Linked DNA regions of Rhinolophus ferrumequinum. The protein of the gene in region 1 purifies or fractionates together with the protein of each later gene. This does not show direct contact. Links are inferred from orthologs where the notes say so. Each region holds a gene or a part of one and is shown in the gene's direction. Other genes may lie near its edges.

Region 1 (9,876 bases):
CCAAAGCTCTTCCTTTATGTAGATCTGAGTTTCTGACCTATATCATTTTCTTTTCCCTTCAGAACTTCTTTTAATATTCTTGCAAGGCATTCTTCATTTCTGTTACAATGTTTTGAATTTCTAACATTAGCTTCTGATTCCTTTTTAGAGTTTCCATCTCTCTCCTTATATTATCCATCTTCATTTGTACCTTATCTACGTTTTCCATTAGAGCCCTTAGCATATTAATCATAGTTATTTCACATTCTCTGTCCATTTCCAATTCCACATTGATTGGAATTTGGATTGAAATCTGTGTCATATCTGAGTCTGGTTCTACTACTTGCTTTGTCTCTTTTTCTCGTTTTTTGTTTTTGTTTTTGTTTTTTGTTTTTGTTTTTTTGGCATGCCTTGTAATTTTTTGTTGAAAGCCTGCAGAATATATTCGGTAATAGGAACTAAAGTCAACCGTAGGCCTTTAGTATGAGGTTTTATGTTAATCCGGCTAGAAGTTGGGCTGTTTGGTGTTCGCTGTAGCTGTAGGTGCAAGAGGTTTTAAATTCCTCTGGTGTCCTTGTTTAGTCTCCCTTATTGAGGATGGGCTTCCCTAGGAATTCTTCCTCAGTTGGAGCCTGCATCTTGCAGCTCTTTTTCAGCTGTAACCCACTGTTATTATACTGGATGCCTGTCGGTGTAGTGGTAAGGAGTAAGGAGGGAAAGTATTCTACAATTTTATGATTGAAGCTCAGTCTTTTAATGGGCCTGTGTTCCTGAGCTGTGACCTTTACAAGCTCAGCTTTTTTTCTCCCTTAGGTGAGACAAGAAGGCTAGAAGGGGCTAGAGTGGGAGAAATGCCCAGGTAGGACAGGATCTGGTAGTCTCTTCTCGTCGAAAACCAGCCCCTATTATGGAGAATGAACTGGGCATATTCCCTTCTCTCTCCCAGAGCCACAAGCATGTCTTTCTTGGCATTTTATTGGGAAAACTTGGTGGTATCCTGGAGGTAAAATCCGTAAGAATGAGGGAGCCCCCGCACCCCTCACAACTGAGGCCCACAGGAGTTTCTCACTCTCTAGGTAGTCCAGACTCAGCTTTAGATTGGTCAAGATACCATTTGAGTATTCCAACCAGCTTATGGATCCAGCGGGTTTGCTCCAGGTAAGCAAATGTTTGCTGTCACTCTTTGAACTTGCCTGTCTCTCCAGACTTCAGGGTGAGAGCCTACCCTGCAAACTCAGTTTTCTAAGGGCTCCAAGAAAAGCCATTAGTTTTCAGTTTGTCCAGCTTTTTCTTCTAAGAATGGAAGTGATAATTTCTAAACTTGACATGCTTGGAGGTATAAGCAGAAACTCCTCCCCAGGTTTTTTATTTAGTATCTTGGCTGGAGTGGAGAGGGGGACAGTTTCATAAGCTTCTACTTGGCATTTCCTACTATGATAGTTCTTACCTCTTGCAGGCCAAGAATTCAACATGAGGGTTGTGCCAACTACTAAGAGTGTCTATTCTAAGTGTACATTTATAGATTGGGGACATGACAAGTGGGTGGGTTTGAGAACCCAGGGAAACTACTATGAGCTGGACCTGAACCAGATCTTCGTTAGACACTCCCATTGGCCCCCACTCTAACAGGGAGCCCATAACGACACTTTGAGTCTATCAGTATCAATGTCAGTTCAGATTCCGTATCCAATTGTCCTTGAAATGTTTGAATATTCTCTTTCCCCCAGTGTATGGTTACCTAAAAGAATGGCTATAGATCACTTGGAGAAAGGACTTGGAGAATTATTACTGTGCACACAGTGATGTTACGTGTTGTAGTCCTTGCTCCTAGGGACATGGCAGTTACCTTAATCAATGTACTCCAGGTCCCAAAACTGGTCGTAGAACCAAAACTAAAATTAAGTCACTTATGTTGGGGACAAAATGCAGTTGGCTAATGTGGGTTCATTAAAGAAAAACAAAACTTAACCTTACCTAAGTTGCAGGAATTTACAGTTCTTTTCAGAAATAAGCAGAGGACTTCAGCCAATTTCCACTGTCAAGTCTGTTCATGCATCTTTGGACTTTCATGTTCCTCTGACTCAGCTAACCTGATCCAAATAAGGCAGGAGACCACTGGGTAACCAATCAACTAAAAAACCAAATAACTTCTGCATTTGCCGCCATAAAAACCTTTTACTAGTCTGTGAGCAACTCAGAACTCATTGCTCCAGTAGCCTTGGGTTTCCCAGCTTATAGGTCAAAACCCTTGCAATGAACTCATCTTTCTGCTTTGTTGTACTCAGTGTGCAGAGTTTGGTTTTTGACATGGCGCAAGTCTAGAAACTGGGCAAGTTTTCACTGGGGCAACTGCCCTCAATCTTTTGATCATCCATTCTTGATTTATTTTGGTTGTTCAGATTGAGGACATCCTTTGATGATTGCCCATCTATTTTGCTCTAGATACCTTGTCCTATTTACCATCTCTACTACCTTGTAGCATCCACCTGGCTTCTGATGTTGAAATGCCACCGTGTTACTTCTGTTACAGGCCCCTTTCATCTTTACTACTCTCAGGGAGCTCAGGTCTGAAATGGCATCTTCTACCTTCATCTCTGAACTATAGAGAGAACCACCACTGAATTTCTGAATGATGTTGATGCCTCCCTCACCAGAAAATTCTTTATGGATTCAGTAAGTGGTATGTCTTCTGAACTTTCCTGTGGAATATATTCCTCTGCTGGGTTTTCCACCTTTGTGTAAGTATTTTCACTCTAACACATTCACTTCTTTCAGCTATTTAACCCCCTTTTACACTGTGATGCACAGCAGTTCTGGCACTTCTGCCTTTCTTGGTGACTGTGGCATTGCTTTTTCCACGCTTCTAGATGACATCCTAAGTGTGTTTACACCATTGCCTGGAGTTCTTGTGTATGTTAAATCCTGTATCCTGGAAAAGTACTTCCAGATTGATAAAATTTCCCTTATTTAACTTTATGTTCCACCTCCCTCCTCCCTTCTTTATCCAGAACCTTCAGAATTCCATCCCATGCATACTTTCTTGGCTCCTGCTGGTACCTGATGGTTAGATCCTACAGCTTCTTTGGAGTCATTTTCCAATACTATCAGCCCTAGGATGTCCCTGGAATATTCTATGTTGTGACTTAACCCTAATTTTTGCCTACTGGTCAGCAGGGTAAGTAGGGGTATATCTTGAGGGAGGTGCATATTATGTCTCAGAGAGTAGGCTTCTGATCATCTCACAAGGAAGGAGAATTAGCTTTTAATAGGGAAGAGCAGGGCATTTTGACAAGCTCACCAGGTTGAAGGGAATTTAGGAATTCAAGATTTTTCAGGTCTATCAACCTAAATATCCCACTCCCAGGTGTCAGAGGTGCACCCTTTCTCAATGAGGGCCCTAACCTTGACGTATCATGCCTGTCTAAGTGGAGAATTTAATCTTCATTGTAAGTTTCCACTTGGCCTTATGAAACTGTTATATTTAAGTCCTGGGATTGGTCATCATTTTTCTTTGTCTTTCCACTGCAGGAGATGAGAATCTGTTTATTTGCTCCCAGAAGGTCTTCTAGCTTTCCCACTTAATTTTGAATTGCAGATTAATTACTCTCAGCCTTTCATTATCTCTCTCCAAAGTATCAAGTCCACTTAGCAACAGTCAATCAAATTCCGATGTTCTTATAGTTATTATTTCCTCCATACTTTGAAAACAGTGCATGGTCTTTCCCAGTACACCACGGGGGGTGAAATTTTAACAATTGCCCTGCAATTGGCAACTATGTGGTAACTATGTTCTACATAGTGGTAACTATGTTCTACCTGCCATCACTAAGTCATTGCCGGCCACCAATGGGTGGCCAGGTCCAAAATCCAATCATAGACTCTGCTTTCTTGGGCCATTCCTAGCACCAAATCTTTTTGGTTGGGTTCCATGAAAAGTAGACTTCGAAGCAAGGACTAGTGCACAGGAAGTTTATTAAGGAGTATTTAGGATCAACACCAGTGAAAGGAAAAAGATGAAAGTAGGCTTAGGGGAAAAAACTGGGCTCTGAGGCTGTACGGGGGCTGGTAGATGGCTCTTCTTTATTCCAGGGACCATTTGCTCTGAAAATCTAGAATGGATCATTTAGACCCAGAACTTTGCCCTTCCTCAGAGAGAGTGAACATCCTGGCAGATTCTGGCCCGTTGTTCCCCTTACAGATTCCAGAAGGGTCTCTATCCTTTGGTAAATATGGCCACTTCAGTTACAACACAATTGGTTAGGTTACAGTTTTCTAGGGATATACGCTAAGCCCAAGGAGAAAGTCTCTTCATCTTGACTTCGGTTCCTCCTTTACCAAGTCTCCTTGCACATTTATGAGAGGCTGATGCCTCTAAGGGTAGAGCACTTCTTCAGGTGGAATTCTAACCTTTTCCCTCATTTTTTTCTCCAAAATTTTGGAGTACTTTATAGTTGCCCTCAAACTGGGAACCTAGATATCTGGGACTGGAGTAGTGAAGAGTGAAATCTGGATTTTAATTCTGACTTTGACACCAATTGCCTGTGTGAACGTGGGCATGACCTAGGGGCTCATTTGTAATATGAGCTAAGAAGGGAAAATCAGCTGGAAACTCTTTTCCAGGTTTACAATTCAGTGATTATGCAACATGACCCCTGACAAGTCAATATACTGCTACCGTGTTTCCCTTAAAATAAGACCGGGTCTTATATTAATTTTTGCTCCAAAAGACGCATTAGGGCTTATGTTCAGGGGATGTCATCCTGAAAAATCATGCTAGGGCTTATTTTCCGGTTAGGTCTTTTTTTCGGGGAAACACGGTAACATACATTTAGGGTAAAAGTTGTACAGAAAATTTTATAAATGAAGATATTCGCCTTTCTTTGTACTGATTTTGTAATGTGGATTAGGTACAAAAATAAAAACCCTCTTTATCAGTTGCAGTATTAAGGTTGTATTTAACCTTAGCGGTTGCAGTTCTGAGGATTTGATAAGAACCTGGTTATGGTCTTCCAGGGCATCCAAACATCCATTTCATGAACTACATAGATCACCCAGCTTCGGTTGGTCCACAGATCTTTCTTTTATGTATTTCTTCTGGGAATGAATGCAACTGAGTAAGCAGATAGTCTGGGGGAGAGATCCATTAAAGTGCTAAGAGTCATCTTACCTTAACGATTGTCTATGACTTTAGGGACAGCACTAATGGCTGTGTGACTTCTTAACTTCCCTCTGCCTTAGGGTCCACATCTATAAAATGACACCTACCTTGCCAGGGTGACTGTAAGAATAAGGGTAGAGGTAGGGTTACCACAAGTTCATAACAGGCACACAGGAAAACAAAAAGCTAATTATGTCCTTACTGTCAGCAATTTTCTCTATTCCACATTAAAAAAAAAACATCAATAGGTTGAGAACATACAGTCCATACTAGGTTAAAAAAAAAGAGAGAGAGAAAAGGGCAAAATGGATTATGGCAAGTTTTGACATTTTTCTCACTTCAGTTTCTTCACTGACACTGAGTGGTTAGTGGCTTCAAGTTCTAGAACTGGAGTTACAAAATAGTTACCATAGGTTCCAATCCTGGCTCTGCCCGGTATCAGCCATATGATCTGGGTTTCTCAAACTCCCTGGGTCTCAGACTCCCCTAATGCCAGGGCAATACAAATGGACAGGATTTCCTACCTAGAACTGATCTTTCACCTCTCTCAATTTCTTCACATCAGACAGGGGCGTGAAGGCTACGCGGGGACAGCCGACTTAGCAGCCGCTCGAACGGCCTAAAGCTGGTACCAGGAAGAGAGCGGAGGCCGGCGGGAAGGAAATTGGGCGGATCTGGAGTTCCCGCCTCCGATGCGTGCGCGCTCACCACGCACGCACAGCACGCTGCGGGAGCGCGCACGCCGGCCCAGCCCTCGTCGCCGCCGCCATTTTAGCTCCTGGTTCCGGCCGCGCCGTGTAGGCTGTGGTGCGGGAGGGGTGGGGGTCCTCCAGAGTTAAGTAGCTGTTGTCGACTGCGCTGATTAGGCCGCCAGTTTTTCTTTTTTTCTTCCTTCATAACCGCCCGCTCGAAGAGTCCGAAGATGTCCAAGCGGCACCGGTTGGATCTGGGGGAGGATTACTCCGGCAAGAAGCGTGCGGGGACCGATGGGTAAGCCAGGCCCGGGGCGCGAGGCAGAGGCTCGGGCTTTGTTGGGGTCCCGGCGGGAAGCGGACCAAGGCCGGCCTGGCCAAGCGGGGCCTGGAGCCCGGCCTTTTGTTTCTCTTTAGGCTGGGTTCATTGGCGGGTTGAGCGAGCGGCGCCACTCCCGGGGTTCGGCTGGGCAAGGGCGCGGGGAGAGGTGTTGCGCGGCCGCCGCCGGGCCCAGTCGGAAGGGTGGAGAGGCCTGTCGTGGCCACGAGGGCGCCTCCCCGGACCCTGCCAAACGAGTCACTTGGAGGGGAGCGGGCGGGAGGAAACCGCGGACCTCGTGGCCTGGGTTCCCGGGTAAGGCCTGGAACCGGGGGAGGGGATGGGGGAGGGCGCGGCGGGAGTATTCGCTTCCAAGGGCACCAGGTACTTACCAGGCTGAGGGGCCGCGGAGAGGGCCTTGGGGGCGGGTGGGTGCCCACCTAGGGGAAAGGAGGAGGGCGGAAAGTGAGAGAAACGCGTGGATTCTTCTTTTTGACTGGGATGGGGGTAGCGGGAGTTGAATGAAGCGTGCAGACGAGGAGTTGCCGGGGGAAGGGAGAATAGAAGGCCTGCCGGGAGAAAGGAAAACGTGGAATATACCTGATGGGCAGGAAGGCTGGTCGTATGGAGCCACTGAGTTTATACTTTCGCGGGAGAGCGCGTGCCTCGGTCCATTCAAAGACTTCAAAGTAGATACTAGGCAAACTTCCGCTCTCTGCTTATGCTCCCGCCATCTCCTTTATTTCCTGCTTTGGCTAAAACTGGGTATTGGGCATTCCTGGGATAGGAATTAAAAGGCATTATTTCTTTTCCAATAAATTCTTGATTTCTGTCCTCCCGCCTTCCTGCATAACTAGTTTTTGCAACAAGAAGACCCTTTTCAAAAAAAAATTTTTAGCATTGATGGCAAAATATCGCACGTGGGGAGGTTGAGAGTTGAAATGGAGTGGTGGTGTCTCAGATTCCTTTCCCTTAACGTTCATTAAAGATACAGATGAATAGACTTCAGCAATTGCATCAAAATCATTTCTTGTCCAGTGTGTTTTCATTCCTGAAGTACAGTGTTTTACTCGGATAATTCAGGTATTTTTACCGTTTTATTGTGTGCACGTGTTCAGAATCACGGTGCCAAATCATCTTTATAACTTTTGTGAATTTTTTTTTCACCCAAAGTGCATTTGCATTGGTTTCCAGGTATCTGTCTAGTGAGTGTATAAACCAGGATAGGGTGTACTTTTTGATCCCTTCCCATATAGTGAATATGGAAAGCAGAAATAGGTAATGTTTTAATCTTGTAAAATTTTTAGTTTACAATGTTAGACTTTAGTTTTCTCTCTTTTTAGGTTGTCTCCTCTTCCCTCCCTCCCCACACCCTCAGCAAAACTTTAGCACATTTAGAACTCCTTGCCTCAGACTGTTTAGAGTTGCAAGTGACTTTAAAAGAGAGTATAATCAGCTCCACTGAAGGGATGAGAAAGGAAGACCCAGAGTTGTTAAGGTGGCTTGTGCAACCTTAACCCAGTTCACAGCTGGATTTAGAACCTTGATCTTTTCATTTGCACTCTTAGCTTCTTGCTTTTTCTATTACACTACAGACTATGACTGTATTTAAGAGTCATGACAACCTAATTTAATGACATTTATGGGTCACTAAAGTAGGGGACTCTTGGTTCCTGTGAAGCAAAGATAAATTGCTTGTCATCTGGGTAAAATGCAAGACGTCATCTGACTTCTCTCATAAGAGTTCAGATTGAAACAAAGTACACTAGGAGGGAATGAATTCATTTATTCATATTTGTGGGTGTGCAACATTTAAATACTTTTCTTGGGATTAGTGGTCCCATGGGTTCCCTTTCTCTTGCAAAACTGATACCCTTAGTAAAAAATGTGGACTTTCTATGTCTGACATCTACCTGTAATAAAGCCCAAGTTCTGAGATAATTCTGGGGGGACATTTATATACTCATTTCTGTGTCATCTGAATGTCATTTCTCAGAACTAATTTTCTTTAACTGAGCTTACAACGTTTTAGTGCTTGGGTTCCCCCTGCTCCCCCCCATATTTTATAACTTGAAAGTCTCTTTTCACAGACATGCTGTTTTGCAGTTTTTTTAAGCCTTGACAGTTAGCAAGTGGCTTTATTTGAGAGGGTAGGCTTGTCTTGTGAACTTCATTGCCAAACATGGCTGTACCATTTCCCCAATACTGAGAACGGAAAATAATTTAGTGGGAGATTTCACTCAGTTTCAAGTTCCCACACTATGTATAGTTTTATTTACTCCTGGTATATTTTAGTTTTGGGGTCAGGTGGAGAAGTTGAAGGTTTCTGTTGCAAACTGATGGTATTCCTTTTCCATCATCCCACAAAAATTTCTATATTAAATTATGCAGAAGACAACTACTTATTGAAGTGTGGAAAAAACTTTTTGAAAATAGAACATTTTTCACTTTGGTCTTAGTTTCTGATTAATTCCTGATAAGTACTTTTCCTGTTAATTGTGGAAATGTAAAACAAATACACTGATACAATAACATGTAAAATATAGTGGTACCTCCGTTTTCAAACGTAATCCGTTCCGGACGACCGAGTTCTGAAATGCTCAAAAACCTAGGTACCACTGTATGTAACTATGTTCCCGAAACTATTTAGGTGCTTTATATGTATAAGCACATTTTCACTACAATTCCTGTGATATAGGTGAGGTTAAGTAACTTGCCCTGGGGAACACAAGAATGTCCATATACATGAAGATATAACCAAAAGGCAAAAAATTTCCATGAAATTTTCATCCCTATCTTTAATCCTTTGATGAACTTTTTTAAAGGTTTTTGAATATTTATTCATACATAATGAACTATAATACCGTGTTTCCCCGAAAATAAGACCTAGCTGGACAATCAGCTCTAATGTGTCTTTTCGAGCAAAAATTAATATGAGACCCGGTCTTATTTTACTATAAGACTTATAGTAAAATAGTAAAGACTTATAAAGACTTAAAATAGTATAAGACTTATAGTCTTATAATAGTAAAGACCAGGTAAAGTACAAGCTGCAATTTACTAATTTACTTATATAAGACCGGGTCTTATACTAATTTTTGCTCCAAAAGACACTTTAGAGCTGATTGTCTGGCTAGTCTTAACATTCGGGGAAATACGGTATGTAATATCAGTGGGATTTTTCAGTGTGTTTTCTGCTTTGATTTTTAGTCACTTAAATATGTAATAAACTGTAGAATAGATAACACATCCTTTTCATTGGCTGTATAGTATTCCACTAATAAAGGGCTATTGTAACAACCAATTTCCTGTTCAGTGATGCTTTGGTAGTGTCCCAGTCTTCATTGTTTTATAAATGAAAAGTGGTGAACATCGTATGTGTACATATTTGCATATTTATAGTCTTAAGAGAAGTTCCTGGGAATGAGATTGCCAGATACAAAGCAGTACTTATTTTAAATATTCTGATTTTGATTTTGATGACCAGTTTACATTTTAATTAGCAGTAATTTAGTTTCTGTTGTTCCATGTGGAATTTTAACATGGTGGTGTAAATTTTTCAAAACCTTGAATGATAAGCAATATGTATTGGTCATTTACTATGTTCCAGCACTACATATATTAATTCGTTTTAATTCTTGAAATATTCCACATGACATATGAATAGCCACATTTCATAGTTGAGGGAAAAATAACTGGTCATATAGTTAGCTTAAGTGCTGAGCTAG
Region 2 (9,042 bases), on another chromosome or scaffold:
TATTTCATGAAAATGGAAACAGACAAACAAAAGCTGGGGCAGCAATATTTTTATCAGACAAAAAATAGACTTTAAAACAAAGTCTATAACAAGAGACAAAGAAGGACCTAGTATCCCACTTCTGGGTATTTACCCAAACAAACCTAAAATGTTACTTCAAGGGGACATGTTCATTTATATGTTCATTGCAGCATTAGTTACATAAACCAAGTTATGAAGGCAACCTGGGTGTCCCTAAATGGATGAATGGATAAAAAAGAGGTGGTACATATATACAATGGAATATTATTACTCAGCCATAAAAAAAAAAAGAAGGAAATCTTGGCATCTGTCTACAACAACATGGATGGACCTAGAGGCTACTGTGCTGAGTGTAATAAGTCAGACAGCTAAAGAAAAATGTGTGATTTCACTTATAAGTGGAATCCAAAGAACAAAATAAATAAATGAAACAGAAACAAACTTATAGATACAAAGACCATTTTGATGGTTGCCATATGGGAGGAGGGTTGGGAGTGGGTGAAAAAGAGGAAGGGATTAAGAAGTACAACCTTGTTGTTATGCAGTAGTCATGGAGTTGTAGGGTATAGCTTAAGGAATACAGTCAATAATATTGTAATAACTAGGTATGGTGTCAGATGGGTACTAGACTATCAGGGTGATAGATGGGAGGGGTGTCTGAGGGTAAAAAAGTTGAAGGGAATAAGAAATACAACTTGGTAGTTACAAAATAGTCATGGGGTTTTAAAGTATAGGCAATATAATCAATAATATGGTACTAACTATGTATAGTGCCAAGTGGTACTAGTCAGGGGGATCACTTCCTAAATTACATAAATGTCTAACCACTAAGCTATACACTTGAAACTAATATAAAATAACATTGAATGTCAACTCTAATTGAAAATTTTAAAAAGGGGGGAAGATCAATAATATTGTGATAGCGTGGTATAGTGTCAAATCACCTGGACTTACCATGGTGATCATTTCTTTAGCATAGGGAATATAATCAATAATGTAGTAATAACTCTGTGTAGTGCTAGGTGGGTACCGTTGAATAACTATGATGTACACATGAAATTAGTGTAACGTTGTATGTTAGCTATATTGTAATAAAAAATCATAAAAAAAGACAATAGCCAAGATGTCGGAATGACCTAAATGCCCATTGTTCAATAAATGGATAAAGAAAATGTGTTATTTACATACAATGAAACATTATTCAGCCTTAGAAAAGAAGGAATGCCTGGTACATGCAACAACATGTATGAACTTTGAGGACATTATACTAAGTCACAGACTGACAAATACTGCATGATTCTGCTTATATGAGGTATTAAAATAGACAAATTCATAGAAGCAGAAAGGAGAATGGTGGTTGCCAGGGGCTAGGGGAGGAGTAATGGGGAGTTGATGTATAGCAGGTATAAATATTCTGTTAAACAAAATGAAGAAGTTCTAGAGATCTGTTATACAACATTATAATTAACAATACTGCACTGTACACTTAAAATTTGGTTAAGAGGGTAAATATTATGTTGAGTGTTTTTACTACAATTTTTTAATTTTCAATAAGCCAACCTGTAGGGCTAACTTTGCTAATAGCATGCGAACATTGGGAACAGGACCTCCTGGTCCCAGCACAAGTTGCCCATCATAGTAAGAGCTCAAAAAAACAAAGAATAGATGCTGTAAAAATGAAAGCACAATTAAGTCCATATTTTAGATGAATTTCCATAATATTTTTTTTAATTCCCAAAAGAAAGAATGATTCTTTCTTTATCATGTTTAATTAAGTCATGTTTAATTATAAACATGACTTTCCAAAATTTTGTCCTCTGAGAAAGTTTGACATAGGTTGGCTTAAAAATGAAAATAAGACCATTATTTCTAACAAGAGAGAATGAAAAAATAGCTCTTTAATAACAAGCCAATTTCCAAAAGATTGACACAATCCTTCTGTAAGTAACATATTTCTCACTAGAGGGAGCTCAAAACTCACGGATCAAAGGCAAGAGAAGTTGAATAAAATGTCCATTTCACTTCAGGGGAAAACTGGTCTGTGAGTAAATATGACATCTATTTCCAGAAGTTGGAATTTTTTTCATATGCGTATTTTCTTCAATTATTAACCTCTGCAGTTTTAAATTATATAAGAGGTGAATAATGCAAAGTGTCCTGAAAGTCAATTGATTTAACAAGCTAGTATTAAAATAAGTATGGTGTAGGTCTAATAAGAGATGTGTCATTGTCTTTGTCCTCTTGGGGGAAAATAACTAGCATTCATGAGAAAGAGCAAATAAAATAAGGTAGTGATGATTACAAGTACTCAGAAAGGCTATTTGGGGAAATACAATTCTTGCTGTCTGGCTGCTCTTTTCCTGTCTCCATGCATAATTCTGTGAAGCATTTACCCCCTTTAAAGTTGGGGAAAGGGACTATCTCATAGCAAATCCTAAGCCAGTGTGCTCAGCAGCCTGCTTCTCTCCTGTCATCCACTACATCTCTTCTCTCACTCTCACCTCAGAAATTGAAGAGCCATCACCTTTCCTCATCACAAAGGTACTGCCACCATCGTGACCTCAGCTGATGAGTCCTTTATTCCCAACAGCAGTGTTAACTCAAATCTGCGTGAAGCAAAGTTTTACTAAAGGCTTGAGGGGAAACAGCACTATGTCTTAAAAGTTCCTTTTCCACCTACCCCCTGCAAATGGGAACTTCTCACTGACCAGCACTATTCCTCAGGTTCCAGAAGCACTACCAGCCCCAGGTTGCAAGACTCTAACCTTGAAATTTTTTCCACATTTCTCTTCATCATAGATTAGGGTTCCAAGATGTTCTATACAAGTATGTCCCAAATATTAGATGTGACTTACTTATAGTAAAAAAATTATTCTTTGGGCCGGCCCGGTGGCTCGGGAGGTTGGAGCTCCGTGCTCCTAACTCCGAAGGCTGCCGGTTAGATTCCCACATGGGCCAGTGAGCTCTCCACCACAAGGTAGCCGGTTCAAGTCCTGGAGTCCTGCAAGGGATGGTGGGCTGCGCCCCCTGCAACTAAGACTGAAAGGACAACAACTTGAAGCTGAATGGCACCCTCCACAACTAAGATTGAAAGGAAAACAACTTGACTTGGAAAAAGTCCTGGAAATAAACACTGTTCTCTAATAAAGTCCTGTTCCCCTTCCCCAATAAAATCTTTTAAAAAAAATTATTCCTTGTTTATCTGAAATTCAAATTTTATTAGATACCCTATATTTTTTTCTAAATGTAACAACTCTACCCTGGAGCCTTTACGCTGCTTTCCCTGGGGTCAGAGGAGGAAATCCAGCGTTTCCCTCCCTGTATTAAACAAATGCTGTCTATTTCATCCTCTTCTATCCAGGCCATACCCAGAGAAAACCACTTATCTCACTTCTCTACATTAGAACAAATATTTGGTTTATGTTTTAAATAAGTTTTTCTTTCTGTCTCAGTAGTACATCACCTGTCAGCTAACATATTTGCATCCAACATGTTAAACAGAGGGATTTGTTTTCGGGTTTCAGAATCGCCTCATCCACACATTTAGTTCACTGAATTCATGTTCATTCCATGAATACTCTGAGTTAGGATCTACACTAAGTATGGGCGTATCAAGGTGAGTAAGGGCCCTACCTGTGGAGGGCCCCACCTGTGGAGCCCTACCTGTGGAGGCAGTGTAGTTTAAAATGAGGAAGTAAGCAAGTAGCCCACATCAGCTGAAGGCTTTGAACCTAGCTGAAAACAATGAAGTCACATTTCAGTTGGACACAGTTTGTGAATTGGTGACAGTTGAGGGGAAAGGACAGCCTCCTGGAATGTCAACATCACACTTAAATAAACGTCTCCCTTTCTGAGTCAAGTATCTGGAAATTTATCCCTTAAAATAATCCTTTCTATGAACCTCTGGGAAAGTCTTCTTGAAATTTAAAGCAGTGAACGAAACGTAACACATACAGCAGACCCCAGCAAGAGGAATTAAATGAACTGAATGTTTATTTGCCCCAAATGGATATGTTCAGAGGCACCCAAGCAAGAATGGGTTTTACCAAGGGAACCAACAATTCAGAGTCCACGGTGAAGGCTCTCTCTCTCTCTCTCTCTCTCTCTCTCTCTCTCTCTCTCTCTCTCTCTCTCCCTCCCTCCCTCCCCCCAAACCTCGACAGTGCTTAATGGACATAGTCCAAGTTTGCTTTAGCCGTCCTTTTTATCTGAGTGTCTTTCTAAATAGCACCCCCTTTTTTCCAGATGCAATATTTTTTGAGGACCAAAGCATTTAACCAGGTTCTGTTGAAGCCTGGAAGCTATCATTTGATTTTTTTGTTTGTTTGTTTTCCTTATTTGTGCGCCTATTATCTATGCGTAGATTTTACTGTTTAGCTCTCAGAAGCAACACACACACACACACACACACACACACTCCTTTTTGTTTGTTTGTTTTAATTCTTGGTTGGAGAAAAAACTTTGCTCTCTCCATAAAGGAGAAAACAGGTGATCCGCTTCCAGTCCAGGACGCGGGCATCGCGACTCCCCAGATAGGGTTTGCACAACGAGAGCCTGTGAGTGATGCTGTCCATAGCAGGCAGTACGAGAGGTCTGCGGGAATCGCTGAACGATCTTCTGTACAAGCTGGCCACGCAAATAAAACACTTTGCATCCTTAGACCCGCGCGCAGTGAACCTATCTCGGTGTAGCAGAGCCGAGGAGGCAAAGCACGCATGCGCAGGGTGAAGCGTGAGTCGACGGTGCACTGGACGGGCGCGCGCACGCGTCGGTCCGGAGGAAGGGAGGAGCGCGCGCCTGAGTGGACGTCGTTGACCTGGGTTGGCGTGGGCCGGAAAAGAACCCGCTGAAGGCATCTGGACCTCTGCCATGGCTCACAGGCCGAAAAGGACTTTCCGACAGCGCCGAGCCGACTCTAGTGACAGCGACGGCGCAGAGGAGCCATCTGCTGAACCCGGGGAGCAGGCAGCCCCGGGCCCTGCGGAGGACGGGCCGCCCCCGGGAGGAGGCCGCACAGAGGCAGCGGAACGGGCCCATCGAGTCCGGGTCCCTCGAGGCCGGGGCCCGGGCCGGGGCCGCGGCCGGGTCTGGGCGAGTTCTCGGCGCGCTACGAGAGCGGCTCTTCGCGCGGACGGTGGCTCGGACGTCCCAGGTGACGCGGATCGGCGGGTGGGCGCCCAAAGCGACGAGCTGAGGGGGCGGGAAGAGGCCGGCGGGTTTCTCTAGAGGTTTCTATAACGTGGTGCTGACCGAAGCAAGGCTGATTCGCGGAAATAGCATGACAGCCTGCCTGCGAGCCCGCGCCCGCTGTCCGCATCTCCACATAGGACGCTGGGGCAGTAGTAAGAATGCTGTACGTTTGCGGGCTCGTCTGGGTTTGCGCCATCAGATGGACCACCACCAATTACAGCTTTAGTGCAGTATTTGATTATGTTAAATCGCCACAAAAGAGTTAAAATTTGTAAGACTCTTAGGTAGAAGACAGGTACACGTACCTTTTGGAACTGTCCCCAATTATTTTTCTAGGAAACACTTAGCCGGAATAATACGTTAGAAGAACGTAGGTGACGGGCTTTTGAGACATTTTCTTGTGCCTATTTTCCTTTTCATCTGTTATTTGCGAAAACAGATAAGAAAAATAACAGTACATGTCAGTTAAGTAACAAAAGATTGATGACGCTGTCGACCGTACCAATAATGGCGTTAAATACAGTGTAGTAATTGTTAACTATCTTTGCGTCCTTAAATGTAGGATTCAAGCAGCATAAGTTGTTTGCATTGAATGTGTTCTATAAAAACGCAGTTTTCGGTTAGTCTTAAGGTTAAAATTTTTCTCCCCACTATTTATAGTCCACGATTCTCAGTGATTTCTTAGTTTTGTCTAAATTTCGGATAACTTTTTATATTGTTCTATTTTTTGTAAGTTATCTGATTAAACTTTAATAGGGAGAATTGAGACCAGGAGTTGCCTTTTCTCTTGCCTTCTAAAGTGGTTCTCAAACCTTTTGGTCTTACTACTTCCTTTATACTCCTAAAAATGACTAACGATCCTAATGATCTTTTGTTTCAGTGGATTATATCTATCAATATGTACCATATTTAAAAATTAAGATACATGTTTAATAATTCATTTTTAATTACCTCATTACACATAAGGATAAGGAACATATTTTTGTGAAAAATAACTGTTTTCCAAAAAACAGTAAGAGTGGCATTGCTTTTATTAAAATCCACTGTTCTGCTGTATATTTTGAATGGATCTTTTCCCTATGCGTGGTTGGTAACATCATGCTTTGACTGTTCAAAAAGTATTGGTTCACTGAGTTTTCAGGTCTTGCAAATGTTGGTATACTTTATTATCCAATATCAAAAAAAAGACCCCAAAAACCTCTTACTGATGTCATCAGTCTTTAAGTATTGGAAATTTATCAAGTTCACAGTGGAGAACATAAGTTTTCCGAAATTCCAGTTTTCACTTGAAATCTCTAATTCTTAAAGTGATAGGCACAACTTTGCTCACTTTTGAAAAAAATGTTTGTTAGATATATCCACGTCAAATAACTAGTTTGTCATTCGTTTCAAGTGAAATGGTGTTCCTCCTCAAAGACAGTGGCTAGTTCAACTTGCAGACTACACAGGTGCTTTTCCTTGAGGCGACCATTGCATTTCAGTACGTCCCAGAAGTGCTTTGTGCACGCTTCCATTTTGTTCCACAAATTATTAAAAAGATGCATATTCTAGGGTCAAGAGTTAATCAAATTAACAGTTTTTATTGCTTTAGTGAGGACCATAAGCGAAACTGGCTTTTTTCCCCATCAATGTATGGTTGAAGAAATACGGTGGTTGCTACCACATATTGGTGTCACTGTCTTGATTCATATTAAGAGGCCTGCAGTTTTACTCACCAGTGCTTCTACTTCATTATGTAAATATCAACAGAGTAAACGGGGCAAAAAAAAAAAAAAATGTTAGTATAATGATGAAAAGAATTTTGACTTCACAGACCCTCTGAGAGGTCACAGAGACCTCCAAGGGTTGATGGACCATACTCTGAAAACCTCTTCTCTGGAGTTAATCCATTTTGAGAACAGGTAGGAGTTAACATAAATAGCAGCAACTTGAAAGATGTAAGCTGCAGCTATGTTCCTTTGTCTTTTAAGTTTTGATCTAAAGACTTTTTCGGGCTGTATGTAGGTCTTCCACTTAAGGAAAGTTTTAAGACAAAGAGTATTATTTATGTAATCTTAAATTGTAAGGTTATTCATAAAAATTACAAAATAATTGTGAACTAACAAATCCTTTGTTGTCAATAATAACCATGAATTCCTTAACATTTTGTTCATTCAATTCTCACAACATCCCTATGGGTATTATCTCTTATTGTTATCTTTGTTTAATAGATTAATTGACAGATTAAGTGTCCTTCCCAAAATCACACAATGGAAATAGATACATGATTTAACTTGAGACTATAATGCTCATTACAGTAGTTCTTGCCACCAGCCACTGAAATATGACATAAAATGCATAAAGAAAGTGTAAATTCAGAGTTGGATGAAATTTGGTTGAAAGCCCTACTTCTCCACTTACTTTGTGACACTAGACATGTTATTTAGCCTCTCCAATCCTGATAAGGACACTAATCCTCCTCAGTAATAGTATTTACTTTATAGAATTGTGAATATTAAACTAAATAAACCTTGTAAAACAGGATTTCAATGTGCCTAACATATTAAGTGTGCATTAGTATTTTTTCTTTTTCTACTTATTCACTACAACTATTTTTCTTTTCTTATTTTAAATATTCCTTCACTTTTTCTCTAATGTTCCCTTCCCCCTCCTCAGTGCATCCTTTAAAGGACTTATTGTACTAAATAAGCAGATAGTACAAATGGGGAAACTGTACATTTTTCAGACCATCCTTTGGTTTCAGAAAGAATGAAAGTCGGAAAAAGAGCTATATATCTACTTTAAGCTTGTGGAGTAAAATTAAAACACCATCTTATACATATGCCATATGTTGCTCATAATTATTAATTTCAATATCTTGACTCTTTTTTGTTATATTTAAAAAATGTCCTGTTAGAATCCGGAACAGTTGATCTTTCAACAGATGAAGAGAACGGAACACATCATTCCTCAGAAAGTAAGGATGATCAGAGTTCATCTTCCGATAGCTCTAGCTCTCTAGAAGAAGAATTTTCATCAATAGGTTGGTAATTTTGTGATTTTTATTTAAGAACTCTATTTCTAACACAGTATTTTCTATACCAGTGATCTTAATTATTGATAGCACAACAAATTCTCGTGAAGTATGGGGCAAGTAAGTCATTACTAATGATTGTCAGACTGCCAAAATTGACTGCTCATTTCCATTACATAACATGCCCAAGTTCAGACAGCTGCTAAGAGGTAGAGCTAAGATTCAAACCCACAATCTGGTACAGAACCAATGTACTATATTTGGTGATTCATGCCAATATCTGAAGGATAGTAAGAATTTGTCAGTGAGGAAGTTTCAGGTACGGGATGTAACATGTATAAAACTCTAGGGAAGATAACATAGCATATGTAGAGAACTAAAAATAGATGTTGGACTGAAAATATGAGCTTGGAGTTTAAGAAAGGAACAAAAAGAAAGCAAGCAGAGGGACAAATTGGAGTCAGATAATACAGGGCTTGGGGGAACTACTGAAAATTTTATGCAACTTGATGACATGGCCATTTTTGTGTATTAGAAAAATCAGTCCAGTTCAGGAGTCAGCAAATTACCTCCTGTCCTGTGGGCCAAATCTGGCCCACCACCTGATTAGTAAAGTTTTATTAAAACACAGCTACACTCATTCAATTACGTATTTTCTTCGGATACTATTGTACTACAATGGCAGGGTTGAGGAGTTGATGGAGACTTTATGGCCCACAAAGCCAAAAATATTTATCTGGCCTTTTACTCTAGTTCATGGGTTTATAATTGTGCTGTGAACTCTTTTCAGTTTCTTGAAACCTAAGACCTTTCTGAGA

The links.
Region 2: the proteins of DHX15 (region 1) and GCFC2 purify together in Homo sapiens (co-immunoprecipitation; 3 studies listed by BioGRID and IntAct, with this or other methods). This does not show direct contact. The link is inferred for Rhinolophus ferrumequinum from reciprocal best matches to the Homo sapiens genes DHX15 and GCFC2.

The regions. Positions count from the first base shown.
Region 1 is NC_046288.1:71,715,415-71,725,290, forward strand, and holds the start of DHX15 (ATP-dependent RNA helicase DHX15), read left to right. Parts: upstream 1-5,887; 5' UTR 5,888-6,059; coding exon 6,060-6,127; intron 6,128-9,876.
Region 2 is NC_046296.1:16,597,651-16,606,692, forward strand, and holds the start of GCFC2 (intron Large complex component GCFC2), read left to right. Parts: upstream 1-4,724; 5' UTR 4,725-4,890; coding exon 4,891-5,173; intron 5,174-8,107; coding exon 8,108-8,233; intron 8,234-9,042.